Struthio camelus: one gene and its partner. The protein of the gene in region 1 binds, or shares a complex with, the protein of each later gene. Links are inferred from orthologs where the notes say so. Each region holds a gene or a part of one and is shown on either strand. Other genes may lie near its edges.

Region 1 (7,766 bases):
TTGATTTTTATGTAAAGTTACAGCTTTGTATAGTTCATGTAACTGAACCAAAAAAGATGGAAAGCAGAAGATATTAGCACACAGACGTATAAGAGGAGAGCAATGGGAACAGAGAGGAAAAAAAAGCAACGTGTAGAAGTAGCACTTTTTTTTTTTTTTAAAGTTTCATCACTAAACTGGCATTTTAAAAATGTTTAGGCTCACTTGATCACCTAGTGGCAAAGTCATACAATGCAACATGAGAGAGATGAATTTCCTTCCCAAACAAATATGGCATGTTATCACAGAGACTGTGCTCAGACTTGGAGGGAGGGGACTTATTTTCACAATCACATACCCATGTTAACTATCAAGTGGAGTAACTAATCCACAGACAGGAGAGCAACATTTTGCATGAGAGCAACAAATGAAATGGGGAGATTCAAGTTAGTATGTTTTCTGTGAAAAACGCACAATATACTTGCCTGATACTAATCATGTCCATTATGATGCAAAACAAATCCAGGTTTGATCCAGTGCCAGATACAACTGTGAATGCTTCCTAAAGCATATGTTCAATGTAAAGTTACTGGCTTATGGCAACTCACACTACTGACCAAAAGAATGTTGGAATACCCCAAAAGATGTCCTGCTTTAAAGTGACAGGCATTAGAAAAGCACATCACAGGCATTAGAAAAGCACAGCTCCAAGGCTCTGATACAGCAGGGAGTTTTATAAAATACAGGTGTTCAGAGAAAGTAGTAACTCACTAGAAAGAAATGACTTTGAAAAAGACATGCTCTACTCAGTATTTCTGAAACATGCTGTGCCTTTCAAAAAGTAGCTCATTTCTCAGAGTGTACTTTATAATTACTTGTAATTGATTATGCAGCACTGTATATGCAAGGAAAAGTTTTCAAATCCCATCAGGCTTATCAGCTAAGGTTCTGAAGCATAAAATTTGTTATGAAAAAAAAGACAAAGTTTAACTGAAAGGTCAACTTGAAGGCTAAGCTGGCGTTTAAGAATTGAAGAATAACTGAAATAAGAAAGGAAAGTCGGATTAAAAAAAAACAAAAAACAGTGAACTACCACATTTCCTCAAGCTACCTGAGCTCTGTTTTTCTTTTGAAGAAGCCCCACATTCAGTATTTCATGAAGATGCCATTTTGGACAACTAGTTAACTGCTGTCCCTGGAAAGTTTGTCTTTTATGATTTTTCCCCCTATTAATAGTCAACCTACCTGCCCATAGTTGTCTATGCCAGTTACTAATCTATTTAAATTTAATAAATCAAAAGCTGTCCTTAGGGACTGGCCAAGAGTCGTAAGTCCTTCAGCTTGAAGGTTTTTGAGTTCATTCATAAACGTTGCATGGTTTTCTTTCCATCCAGCCTGAAAAGAGAAACGTGAGAAGACGTATCCTTCAGACAGGAGCTGTGCACAGGATAACGCTTTCCTCTGGGGCTACAGAGCAGCGCTTTCCCCTCCGCACACAGCAAATGACAAGGGCTACCCAAACGCCTGGCGAGCGAGCAATATTTTAGCGGTTGCTCCCTCAGGCTGGCGAGCGCGTCGTCGTGGAGGAGAAAAGGAAAAAAAAAAACCAAAAAAAAACACACAAAAAAATCGTAGCAGCCCACCCCTGCCAGCCGTATTTTGGATTCTCTCCGCAGGACGAAATCTCGGTGAGGTCATCCATGCCCAACTCTTTCTTGCAGCTCTTCAAACTACGGCAGCTCGGCTCTTCGCCGGCTGCGCGGCGCTCTCCGGCGGCCGTGCTCGCCCCGCCGCCCGGCCCCCCGCCGGGCACGGGCCGCGACGGGCAGGCGGGCGGCCTCCCTTCCCCTCCCCTTCCCCTTCCCGACCCCCCCCACCCCGGGCCCAACTCTCGGCGGAGTTGCTGTCACTTCTCCCAACTCGAATAAATATCCCCCACAGTTCATTGCTGCTCGCGCACCGCACGGGGGGGGGGGGGGGGGATGTCGGCCATGTTGATGTCAGCGCTGCCGCCGCCGCCGGAGCCCGAGCGTGCGTGTGCGCCCAGGCGCGGCGGGCGGCGCCGGCCGCGGGGGCCGCACGGGGCGGGGGAACGGGGTGGGGGGGGCGGTATGTGTGTGGGGAGGTGGGGGGGAGGGTTAACGGGGGTTACCTTGATAGCGTAAGGAGGCTCCTCGAAAGTGACCAGCATGTACCTGTCGCCCCTGCTGGCCGGGTCGCGGGCACGGAGCTGCGGGGGTGGCGGACAAAGCGAGAGGGTGAACGCGGAGGTAGCGGCGCCGGGGCGGCCCCCGCCTTGGAGCCCCCCGGCCCGGCCCGGAGCGGTGCGGCCCGGCCCTCCCTGCCCGCACACACACGCACTGCCGCCCGGCCGGCCGGCCGCCCTCGCCCCGCGCCCCCGGCCCCGGCGGCCCCCCGCGCCCTGCCTCCCCCTCCCCTTCCCCGCGCAGTCACTCTCGCTCTCTCTCGCCTCCTCTCGCAAGGCAGAGCCGGTACCTTCATGAAAGTCTCTACAGCGCCTTTGGCTATGTCCAGATAGGTGGTGCCCAGATGGGTGCGCTGGTTCATGGAGGCGGACGTGTCTATCAGGAAGAGTAAGATGGGCATAGTGCGGAGGGGCCGGCGGCCGGGCGGCTACATGGACAGAGGGCGGGGGGCTGAGGGGGGACCACGGGGCGGGGTGGGAGGAAAAGGGGAAGAAGAGGAGGAGGAGGAGGAGGAGAAGAAGAAGAAGACGGGGTTGGGGGGGACAGGAGAGGAGTAAGTGGCTGTGAGTGCTCTGCACGGGGAAGGGCGCCTCCCCGCTGCCCCTCGCCCAAGGAGGGGGGGAAGGGGGGCAGCCCTGCCTGCCCTGCCCTCCTTTGTGTGAGGGGCCTGCTCAGCCCAACACAGGCTGGTTTATGAGGGAGAGGCGGATAGGGCTGCGCTGCTGCTAACCTTCCCCCCCCCCCCCCCGCCTTCCACCTTCCTCCACCGCCGCCCGCCCTCCCCTCCCCCTGTTGATGTTACTCAGAAGTTTCAGGCGGAGCAGCCGCAGCCCCACCACCCCGGCACTTTCTCTCTCTGACTGAGGCGCTTCCTCGCTCGCCGCCCGCTTTTAAGGCAGCCTGGGCAGGTCGGGGCCCGCCCCCGAAAGACACGTCCCCACGCCACGTGACCGCCTCCCGGCCCCGCCATAGGGCACCGGGCAGCTCCCTCATTAGCATATTCAAATCAGCGGGAGGAGGGGCGGCCGGAGCCGCGGAGGGAGAAGGCGGCGGGGGCGCGCGCGCGCCTCGGCGCTGCCGCCGCGCACGCGCGCTGCCGTGCCCGGCGAGCGGGGTGGGGTGAGGTGGGGGGGGCGGAAGGGGTGACACAGCCCTGTGCAGGGAGGGGCGCAGCTCCTCGGAAAACGGTCGGGGCGGGAAGGGGGGAGAAACGACTGAAATGAAACCCGGGGCGGTGGGAAGGAAAAGGAGAAGGGTGGCGGCACATGGACGGGGGAAGACCGCCTCGCCCGGCGGGCTCGGAGGCGACGCGCCCCGGCTGAGCCGCCTGGCTCGGGGCGCGGCGGCGGTTGCCCGCGGTAGTAACGGACCCGAACCCGCCCCTTGACTGGGGCCGGCCGCCAGGCTGGGCCGGGGCGGGGATGAAGAGGGCGGGGGAGGCCCCGGGGAGAGCGCGGGCCGCCGGCGGCTCGACTCGGCCGGGAGCGGGCGGGTGAGTCACGGGGGAGGGGGCGGTGCCGCCGCCCCCCGCCCGGCGCCCGCCGCGGCTTCTCCTTGAGGCTGCAGGAAGGTCTTGCGGGGGGCCTGGCGGCGTGGGGAGCCCCCCCCCCCCCGGCCTTCCTCCGGAAGGAGGAAGAGGAGGGAGGGGGACTCCCCCGTCGGGGGCGGGGGTAGTCGCCCCCCGCCCCGGCCGGCTGCCCTCGGCCCTGCCTTGGGGCGTTTCTTTACTTCCCCCGTCACCCGCTTCAGGCGTGGTGAAGGATTGTTCCTTCCAAGGTTAGTGGGGTGGGGGTCCTCTAAACTGTGCCGATGCCAAAACTGCCCCTTCCGTGAGGGGGGAAGGCCGGAAAAGCCGAGGTCCGAAATGCCCCCGCCTTGGGGGCCGGGGTGGGCGGCGGGGGGGGGCCCTTCCTCGGGGGGAGCTGGCGCTTGGGGGCCCGGCACGCAGTGCCTGCCCAGTCCACGACATGCCGTGGCTGTAGGGTGCAGGTGACCGTTTAAATGGTACCTTCTCAGGGACCTGCACTGGCTTTTCACTCGATGTCAGGAGGAGGGAAAAATAAATAAATAAACGTTGGCTAGCCCTAGCAGTGGCCCTTTCCCCTACATACAGACGGAGATTAACGCTAATGTTTCTTTGATCTGTGGCAGGGCGCTCCACATTCACTCCCGATCAATCACATAATCGGGGAGTGTTTCCAACGATGAAGATCTCTGCTCTTGGTTGTTGTTTTGGGGTTTTTCTTTCCCCAGCAATTGTGTCTCTGTTTATGCTCTCCTACCTTGGAGCGCTAACTCTGAAGTCGTTTCTTAGCATAATCACTTCAGGAGATGCCTCTGCTTCCTATCTGACTTGATATTTTTCCCCAGCTCGAGCTGATGTGTTCTCCCAGTCACTGCTCTAGCAGGTTTAAAGCCACTGTGCTCCTTCCTTCTCTTTAAAATACGAAAATATCAGCAGTGTTCTGGTTTGATTCATCCTGCTTTTCCAGGCAAGATTTCTGTCTTGTTCGACAAGAGCTGTTTTTGGCGTTTTGTTTTGTTTTGTTTTTTTAAGATTAATGAAAGATTAACATTCAGTTTCTAGGAAGGCTGGAGAGGGATAGGAATCATACTTCCATTATAGCTTTGTATGCATTCTTATGCCAGGGAGCAGATTATTTTGGCTTTCTTGTCGGCGCTGTATCTGTGACCTGAGGCATTGGGGTGAAGTGAGGGATGCTTCCTTTCAGTTCAGTTATCCATTTAAGGCCACTAAGGAGTCTCCAGTGTGAAGGGCTCCACAGGAGCAAGGAAAGAGTCTTGATCTTTGGAGTCTGTGCAGACAAAATATGGTAACTGGGTTGGCAAATAAGTAACATCTCTTGCTATGAGTATTTCTCAGTGTGGATCTTGCTGGCAGTGAGAGAGTGGCCAAGCTTGTGTGTACTCGCTGGCTCTTGAGCAGCTTGCATCTTTCCAGCAGTTCAATTTTAGAGCTCCAACAGTGGTGGTGTGTCTTGTGACCAGCAGCAAGGCTGTTCTGGTCCAGGTTCTACCGGTTAATCTGAATCCCTGCTGTCAGAGGAAGTGAACCAGCGGGTGCTGCTGAGGCTGGATTGCTGGGTTGCCCTGGAGTCTAGCTGCATGCCTAGCCCCATTGTGCAGTAAAACGTTCGGACTGTTGGAGAAACGTGGTTCACAGTTATCTTCTGTCTGCCAATCTGTATTGGAGCACCTTGCTTCCCCTCGGCCCTCCACGGAAAGTGGCATGTATCTTCTGGCTCTCAGGTATGCCACTCCTAAGGTCAACAAGGCTGGCTGCTGCAGGACCAGTAATCATCTCCCAAAAGTGGTGGGATTCAGGTTGTTAAGTGAAGGCTATAATGCTGCTTTAACAAATCGTGCCTTGGGATTAGTAGCTTCATTTGGGAGTAATGTTGGGTAAGTGTGTGTTGTCAGCCTCTAATTGGCTTCCCTTTAAATCTCTGAGATAGGCACATTCTTCAGACATGCCATCTTTTCTTCTATTTTTATTTCACTGATGTTTCATTGACCACCCAAATAAAAATAATAAATAAAAATAATGTCACTCTTAAGTGCCAAGCCTTATGCATTTTCTCGAGGAGCGTTGTAAAAATGGGAAACTTCTGGAACGCACCCTTCTCCAGAGGTAGGGGGAGGGGAAAAAAAAGTAAAGGCATTTTATAGCACTGCCACACCAGGAAAATGTCATTGTGAAAGGCAGCCTGAGACATGGAGACTTTGCATAAATCCTGGAAGGTCGTTTGGAATTTCTGATTTTTCTTTTTATTACCAGTAAGTGAAGAGAGAGAGGGGAAAAGACATTAACTCTTAGTGGTAGAATCAGTCATAACCTACCGTGAATTCTGAATCAGCATGACAATTGCAAGCTGTAGGCACACTGTAATTTTCTCTTACCAACACGAGAGGAAGGTGGGACTGAAGCAGCTGGACCTACTCTATCCCTAGTTCCCTTGGACCCAATGATTACCACTGATAAAAGAATCTCGTGCACGAAACTTGTATGCAGTTCCAATGGGACCTCTACCAGCAAAAACACTTTGTGAATTCTATATGTACTTTTTTGCCATTATCTTTGAAGTAATTTGGAACATTTGGTCCTTCCTGCTCCTGTGCATGTCATATGAGACCCATATTAGATCCCCTATAGGGCAGAATGAAGGTTAGTTTTGTGTTGCCTGTGGTAGGCATTAGTACTTTCCTACTGGGAGCTGGCCAATTTGATTAATGTTGAGAAAGATTCTTTTTAAGAAAAGATAATCAACCCAAGTCTTAAAGTGCCTGTCGGCCTCTTGATGTGAGAGTCTTAATGGGTAGTACTGCCATCAGAGTCACATTTATAAATCTGTACAAGGGATTTGCTATGAAGGAACAAAACCTAGTGATATTAGTGCTTATGCTCATTACTGGTAGAGCTGACACAGGTGAGCAGGGAGAGAGCTTGCGACTATCCCTGTGAAAACAGATGTATCTTTCTGTGGTTTCAGCTTTTTTACATGGTAGGTAAATTTATACCCCATGTATAGTGTAAATGAGACAGTTCTATGTTTTCTCTTAAATCTGGATGAATGGTCTCAGCTAGCTCTGTCTGAAGGAATACTTTTGCTGTAGTGATAATGCATAAGATTATCAGTTTAGACTTAAGGTGTAGAAATTATTCATTTTCCAGCTTGTTTCATACACAGATTTTGTTTCTATTATTTTTCATACATCCGTGAGGGATTATGAAAACACGTGCATGTCTAAGAATACTCATTTTCTCACCTTCAGAGAGGCCACTGTCTGTTAGACAATAACTATTAAAAATGCAAATTTGGCTTTAACTTCCAATGAATTTGAAAATGTATATTGAAAAAATCATTTGAAAAATATTTTGATATCATTTACTATTACTGAGTTTTTCCTTAAACTTTTTTGTTTCCCAATTGATACTCGTGCAATCATCTTTTTCTATATCATCATTTATTGTTAGCGTTATTTTGTCCTAAATAACAGGCTTGAATGGAAGATGTTATGTTAAAAACCTTCAAGTGGATCTTGGAACTAGAATTGGCAATATAACTTTGTTTTTTCTTTTTTTGGCTGGCCTTTCTCTTCCTCAATACAGAACTGTTTCGTGAAGATTATTTCAAGATCTTTGTCAGCCCAAGTTTAATGGCGCAGAGTAAGTTTTTCATAGCTTCCTTTAGAAGGCCCTTTCATAGCCTAGTAGATTGTCACTACTCAGACTTTTTTTCCCCATATAAAGATCTTAAATTTTCTATTGCTTAATTTTATTTATTGTTCATCATCAAAGTATATGTCCTTGAAGAGCACTCTGAGTCTCAATTTATTATCTTTTAATGCTTGTATCCTAATCCTTTTAGTGAGGTGCTGTGCATTCCCTTTATTTGCTTTCTTTATAAATAAAATGTTATTTTCCACTTATCTTGCATTCATAGCAGTTTATATTGTTGGGCTTCTTGGTTGTTATTCCACTAGTTTCAGTTCAGTGGTTTTTAAGCCTACTTCTCCCCACCCCCCGAAGTATTACCAAAGAGAAACTCACTCCTCCTT
Region 2 (7,331 bases), on another chromosome or scaffold:
ATGGTCAAACTTAGCTCTTTAACCCCAATCAACCACACTGGAATTTAAAATATTAATTGGTTGTCCATGTACTGCTTTGACTATAAAAACAGTTTTCGTCATTTTTCTAAGTCATTTATACCTTATGCTTACTTCCTACGCTCCACTCTGCTAAGTGGAAAGGAGGTAGATTAATCATTTTATTCCCTACCTCTGCTCATCACACATTAACAAAGAATTGCAACTGTTTGGATTAACAACTCCCAAGGAGACTGTTTACTTACATTCCTCAAAAAGCAGTTTTAAGTTATATTTAAATGCTAAAAAGCTATTAAACCCCAAATAGTACATTCAAAATAATCACAAAGACTTTTGTTTTAAAATTCATAAAGCCTTAATTATTAACAAGCAACATTATGTTTGCCTGCTGTTAGCATAATTTAAGAAAACCTTAAGAAACCAAGCTGGTGAGTAAGGGATATAGGTATGGAATATGTATACCATATGAATGTATACCATATGGTATACATATATGCATATGCATATATGTATTCCTTATATATATGTAAGGAATTCAGCTGCTTCTTTTGTGAATGCAAGATACACATGCGAAATTATGTTTTCACCACACCAGAACTTTGACAGCTGAAGGTACAACTGAAGTAAATAGAAAGAAATGGGGGGGGGATCTTAACTATTTTTATAGCTTTTAAACTATCGCTAATTAAAAAAGCAATAAAATATCACCACTTTTATCAGCAAAGCACTCTCTTGCTCTTTTTTAAATCATGAATAGGATCATGACCCTGACATTTGCGAGCTAACTGGAAAATCTTCCTCTTTTCTTCCTTAACAGCATCTACAATAATCTATATTTGCTGTCAAGCTGTGGTAAGTGGATTCCTGAGAGTCAGTGGATTCTTTCTTTCAATTCATGTAAAGCGACCAAAAAACCATAAAGTAATTCATATATGCTATACAGCTATTTGCACATGTGGTATTTCGGGGCCTGTACAATTAGAATTTTTGTTTAAGAATTCAGGAATTCTAATGCCTGCATTATACATATCTCTATATGTACTATAAATGTGACGGACTATTTCCCACACAGATTATAGCTGTTACCGCTTAAAATAGATCCAGAGATCTAATATTCCTGATCTGACTAAAAGACAAGTCCTTTTTGCACTAATATTTGCTTTCTTCTATCTTTCTTCCATTATGACTGAAGGTTAGCGCAGCTAACACAACAGGTACTTATACTCGTAATTAAAAAATAGCAGTGGAAAAAGCTCACAAAATATGTACAAAATACTATAAATACGCCCATCTCCGCTCACAACTTTCTCAGCAGGCTTTGTAAATTGGATGAAAATCTGATGAAAATCTGATGAAAATCTTGAGTGGGGCGCAAAGAGACCAAGACGAGGGGTTAATTCCAAATACTAAAACCCTCATAGAGAAAGGTTCTCAGCAGACAGCTGGTTCAAGCTGAGCACTTGCCAGCTCTGAGTGTCTCTGGTGATCTCATATATGGCAATGTGACAGAGAAAAGACATGATGTCTCAAACTAGCCACTCCAAAATACTGAAGATTTCGCAGGTTAAAGCCAGTGCTTTGAATTACAACTGAAGCCAACATAGACTGCAATGCTTTTCCAATGTTATCACACGCTAGCCTAAAGTCTAGGGGGAATTTTGCAACTGGATTTGTCCGAATCAAAGCACGTTAGAATTTGTGGGAGTCTCTCATTTGCACTGGATTCCGAATCAGGTCCAGAGACTTGTTTCCTCTATCCTGTTCTTCCAAATTCAGACTAAATATATGACAAAAGAGGATGAAATACCATCCCAACTCCTACCTCCACAACCCCAAGTTTCAGGCACAACTCCAGACAAACACAAGATGAAGAACCTGGTCTTATGCTCCTGACCTCCAAGTTTGTAAGCAGGTCTAAAACTGTTACAATATAGATTTCAGATAGCTTGCATTTTTCCCACTTCTTCCCTCTCTCTGCCCTCGTACAAGAATAGGATGGGTTTTGCTTCTCAGTGGCTGGATAGAACAAAGAATTCTGCATTTCCACTATGGTTTTCATTTGGAGATTTCTCAGCTTGCTTTTTGTTGTGCCTTATATCGATCTTTACAGTCATGTAGAGAACTGCTTAGCTTTGCACAGTTTGTCCCACTGGTCGTACTCATGCACACACAGAGACTTAATCACATACGTAAGATTATGCAGGATCAAGCTCTTCAGCCACCTGTCTACTGAACTAATTTTACACAGTTAGCCACAGCCAGTGATCTACCAGAAGTCACAAAAGAAGCCCAGAATCCAGGTCCACTTCTATGAAGCTTTCTCAAGACAAACTGCAGAGTTTCAAAACGGAGAGACAATCGGTCTCTCCTTAAAACAGGTTTAATAGTAGTGTAACTTTAAGTTAAAGAAATCAAATGTAATGCTCAGAAATTTTGAAAGCTGTTTCATTTTTCATTTCCAAAGAACTGCAGCATATTGAGCGGACAATAAATCAGTGGCTGAATCCAAATACCTTGGAAAACTTAAATAGTTGAAAAAGGAGATTTATACAGTGGGTATCAATAACACGGAGTGATGCCTTTTCTAATAACCTTCCCTTTAAAACATTATACTATTGAAAGCAAAATATCTGTCATAATCATAGCGCGCCCTTGACAAAGCTATTCCAGGATGATTTTCTTCTGAGTACTTATTTGCGTGACTATCATAATAACTATAAAACATGGATATGACCTCTGCTATGAACCATGGAGATTTATTAATATTTCTAGAGTAATTTAGCGGAAGCCACACGTGCAACGGGCTAGCTCCTGTCTTGCTCCAAGCCGAGGTTCACGTTCAAGGAGGATATGAAGAAACAGCTCTTCCCTCCAAATCCCGCTACCGCTTAACCTGATCTAAAACCCAAAACGCAGAGAGCCCCTAAAACCACCGGCGGGGTGAGCGGCCGGGGGTGGCGGAGGAAGGAGAGGGAGAGCCGGTTGCTCAGGCCTAGGCCCCTTAGCACGCGCAGGTGCCTCCCCGGCGGCTCCCCGACGACCGTTTAACGGTCACTGCCGGGCCGGCACCGGCCGGATCGCGGAGCGGGGGGCTGAGGCCGCCCTCCCCCCACAACGCCACGATCTCCCGCATGGCGGCCCCCCCCTCCCACCCTTACCTACGTCCCCCAAGCAGGCCCCCCCCGCAGACCCCCTAACTACACGGACTCACCAGCTTCATGCTTTACCCGGTTCTATTTACTGGGACAATCCTGCCCCCCCCCCCACCCCGCTTCCTGCCTAGCCCCCCCTCCACCCCACCCCGCCCCAGAGCATCATGGGACTTGAAGTCCGGCCGCCCGCCCAGGATGAAGTCATGGCCCCCCTCTTCCACCTTGCCCTCCTCTCCCGAGGCATGCCGGGAGTGGTAGTCCGCTCCGCGCTTCGCCCCGCGCTCCGCCGGCGCGCCGTGCCCCCGAGGCACGCTGGGAGTCGTAGTCCTGGGACCGCGGCTCTCCCCGTCACCCTGGGGAGGGGGGGACTACAAGTCCCAGGGTCTCACAGCGGCAGCAGGTGGGAGCTTGGATGTTGATATCAACATGGCGCTTGTCAGACAGACAAAGACAGTCAGTCTGGTGTGATTGAGCCAAAAAAAAAAAAAAAAAGAGAGAGAGAGAGCAAGCGAGAGGGAAAGATAGAAGGAGAGAGAGAGAGAGACGGGGTGAGGGGTGCTCTTTCCCTCGGGGGGGGGGTTGGGGAGGGGGGGGGATCTGGCAGCCGAGGGATTTTCCCCCCCCGCATTGTTCTCGTCCCTGTGCACCCCCGCGAAGCTCCCCCTCAGGCCGGGGCGGGGGAGGCAGGCAGGGAGGGGACCCCCCCCCCCTCTCCCGCTGTTCAATGGTGAGGTGGCGCAGGAGCCCGGATCCAGAGGTGAGTGTTACTTGTGGGGAGGAGGAAAGTGTGGGGCCGGGGAGAAGAAGAGGGAGGGAGAGAGTAGGGGCGGCGAGGGGAGGGGGCGGGTGGGTGGGTGGGCTGGAAGGAGGGAGGGGAGGGGAGGGAGGGCGCAGGGTCCCCCCCACCCCCGCCTCAGCCAGCGCCGAGGCTGCCTGTGGGGCAGTCGCGCCGTGCGGGCGAGCGGCTTCCCTGGCAGCGCAGGAGGTGCGTGGACGAGGGGGCAGCCCGGGGGGGGCCGGGTGGGGCAGGCCGGGCCAAGGCAGGCCAGGCCGGGCCAGGCCCCTCAGCCCGCGCCGCTTGTCGCCGGCAGAGTTTTGTGCCGCGGAGCTGGGTGGCTCCTCGTCTCCTTGAAGCCGCGGAGCGGCGGAGGAAGGTGCCCCTTGGAGCCTGGGGTGGGGGGGCTGCTGAGGGAGGGCAGGGCAGCCTCTCGCTTCTCCTCGGAAGGTTTTTTAAAACGGGAGAGGAGCCCTTCCATTTTCCTCCCTGGGATTTTTATTTCATTCCATTTATTTATTTATTTATTTACCCCCCCCCCCACACACACACACACCACCACCCTCCTTGGGTGGGAAGGGAAGAACTCGCGGTGGCAGAGTCCCCTCGGGCTGGGTGGGTGTGTTTATTTTTGTGGGGTTTTATTTTTTTTTTGGGGGGGGGGGGGAATGTGAGTGTGTGTTTTGTTTTGTTTGTTTGCTGCCGGAGTTGGAGCCCGGGGTTGGGCTGCTGCCGCCTCGTCGCCTGTGAGAGGGGGCGGCGAGGGCCCCCCCCAACCCTCCTCCTCCTCCCCCCCCCCTCCTCCGGGCGGGGTGTAGGGGGGGGTGCTGGCCCGGCTCGGCAGCACTTTGGCCGAGCAGTTACCTCGGGGTTGAGGGGGGAGGCCGGAGGGGGAAGGTGTGCGAGGCGGATCGCCCCCCCCCCCCAGCGGAGGGGTTATTTTGGGGGGGGGGGCGGTTAAGCCCTGGGGGTGAGAAGGGGAGAGGGGGCCCCCGCCGGCGACGGGCAGATCTGTTGCTGCTCCCGGCGCTTTGCCGGGGTTGGGGGGGGGGGGACAAGGCGTGAACCCGGAGGGTGTCTTGTTGCTGGAGAGTTTTAACGTGGGTGGGGGAGGAGGAGGACCCGGAGGGAAGTCGTTCCCCAAATGTGCTTGGAGAGCTTGGGTGGGGTGTCGTACGCGTGGTGGTTTTGTACTTCTGGAGATTTTGGGGCGGGGGAGGCGTAAACGTTCTTGCTGTCTGCGATCTTCTTCGGGAGAAGAGTGGGTTTGACCCCCAGACGGTTTGGAAGAAGCGGTGGGGAACGCTGCTGAACTGTTTCGTGCTGCTTCGGGGGGGTAAAGTGACACGAGCCACGAGTGTTTTTACGGGCGAAACCTACGCGAGGCGGACTGCGCTGAGTTCTCCAGGCTCAGTTTCGTCTGATGGGTTTTTTTTAGTTGTTTTAAAGAGTATCTCTTGGTATGTTTGCAGAGCACTTTTTTGGAAACCTTTTTTTTTTTCTTTTTGGCTTTTTTGTTCTCTGAAAAAAAAAAAAACCCTTGATCATGTGTACTGTTTTTCCTTGCCCCCTCATATATAGGGAAGAAAAAAATGCTTTTTTAGGGGGGAGGGAAAGAGGAAGAGGAAATGAAGATTGCAAGCCTGTTTGCTCTTCGTAGAGTCAGGTATATCTTAATTTGTTCTCAAGCTTAAGTAACGTTAGAGGTACGGATAAGTGGCTTTAAGTACAAAACGTGTATGAACTAAAGCTAGGAAGATTTAAACTTGGCAGGGAAGAAAGCGTTAAGCTGATGGCCAGGGCACGCGGTTGAGAACACGGTCCGAGCAGCTCTGATAGACGCTGGCTACGTGCCCCTGCTTCAAACTAATGGGGATGGAGGAGAAGGAAACTGGTGGAAAAACTACAATTTGCATGAATGAGAGCATGTAAAATATACCATACTGGAGAAATGGCCTGTGCTAGGCAGATAATTTGTGGGCTTTGCAAAACCCTGAAGTGCCCGCCTGCGTCCCATGATATGTGACTAGCTCATTTCTGCAGGGCTCATCAGGTACGGACTCTGCTTCCTTCCTGGGATGGTGCAGCTGGCATTTGATTTCCTCCATGGATGGGAGAGGAGGAGTCCTGTGCAGTTTTTTTTCCTGAGATGATTGCATTTTCTTTGGCCTTGCTGTACCCTGCCTCATTAGTAGGAACTGCATCTATATTTATTTACCATTATACCATGTCTCTTGGGATGTCGGGTGTAGTTTGGAGTAGGTATATATGGATTTATCACTCTTAACGTTTTTTTTCCTCCTGTCACGCCTGGGCCAAATCCTTCAACAGCAGAGAGCAAACTTAATTTAAGTCTACATTTTGCATCTCTCTTTTTGCCATTTCTCTTCCAAATTGTGAAGAAAACATTTCTGAGATACAGGTTGGGGAGGGAAGTAGGGGAGAAATGGGAGATGGATAGAAGAATATAAGGCTGGGATGCATTTGTTATCTGCATGTTCTAGGAGCACTGGGCTCTCTGAAGAGTGGGGTTTGATATTGCGTGTGTAAACCGTGATCCTGGGATTTGGGAATGCTGTGTCTTTTCTCTTATATGAAAATTCTTGTTTAACCCCGTGACAGCCACAACTTTTTTGTGTGGCTAACAGAATCGTCTGATGAGCCTAGGAACAAGAAACTTGTGTTTTACCTAGCTGTGTCTGTCCTTCCTCCTATCGTTCCTTTAGCATCGGTGCGAGCACCAGAACAGGCATCAGCATTTTTACGACTGTGTCATCCAACTCTGTTCAGAGCAGGTCTAGACGACATTGTGGTATGCAGTCTGCCAGCTGTTTTATAGGAATGCTACCGTAGGTGAAACTGCAGGGTTTACAAAGAGTGGTAAGGAAATCTTCAAGAAAATCCTGTGTGGATGAGGCCTGCTTATCTCCACAACTACTTATTAAGCAGTCTTGAGCAACTCCTTTCTGTTTGTTGACCTTTCTAGAAAATATGCATCCCTCTAGTATTGTGATTCTGATAATTCCACATGGAATTAGGAACCAGTGTCTGCTTCAGAAAGCTCGCTTCTAAGGCTCTTTCCGTATTTATAGCGTGGATCTTACTGGTATCTTTCAAAGGGATATTGAGAGTTCATGGCTGTCCAGTGTTTTGAAAATTAAATTGTTATGAAGTGCTTAATTAATAGTGATAATCCATAAGTTCATGGAACTATTTGATACGGCTTTTTCCTTCATAGCAGGAGCTGAGGAAGTAGGAGGTTTGTAACTCTCTCTTTCTGAATTATTTTTATTTTGTTTTTAATAAAATAATGTCAAGAGTTCTATCATTAACTTTTAAGACTGCTCTTTTTTTCTTGTATGTCAGTGGGACAGTGATGGTATTTG

Evidence for each region. The genes of interacting proteins can lie anywhere in the genome.
Region 2: INTS6 (region 1) and INTS9 share a complex: the UniProt entries of both Homo sapiens proteins name them as parts of the integrator complex. The link is inferred for Struthio camelus from reciprocal best matches to the Homo sapiens genes INTS6 and INTS9.

The regions. Positions count from the first base shown.
Region 1 is NC_090942.1:193,679,273-193,687,038, forward strand, and holds the start of INTS6 (integrator complex subunit 6), read right to left. Parts: upstream 3,060-7,766; 5' UTR 2,989-3,059; exon of another isoform or gene 2,637-2,988; 5' UTR 2,587-2,636; coding exon 2,476-2,586; intron 2,210-2,475; coding exon 2,132-2,209; intron 1,375-2,131; coding exon 1,225-1,374; intron 1-1,224. UniProt on the Homo sapiens protein: Component of the integrator complex, a multiprotein complex that terminates RNA polymerase II (Pol II) transcription in the promoter-proximal region of genes.
Region 2 is NC_090944.1:9,670,164-9,677,494, forward strand, and holds the start of INTS9 (integrator complex subunit 9), read right to left. Parts: upstream 3,317-7,331; 5' UTR 3,239-3,316; coding exon 3,230-3,238; intron 1-3,229. UniProt on the Homo sapiens protein: Component of the integrator complex, a multiprotein complex that terminates RNA polymerase II (Pol II) transcription in the promoter-proximal region of genes.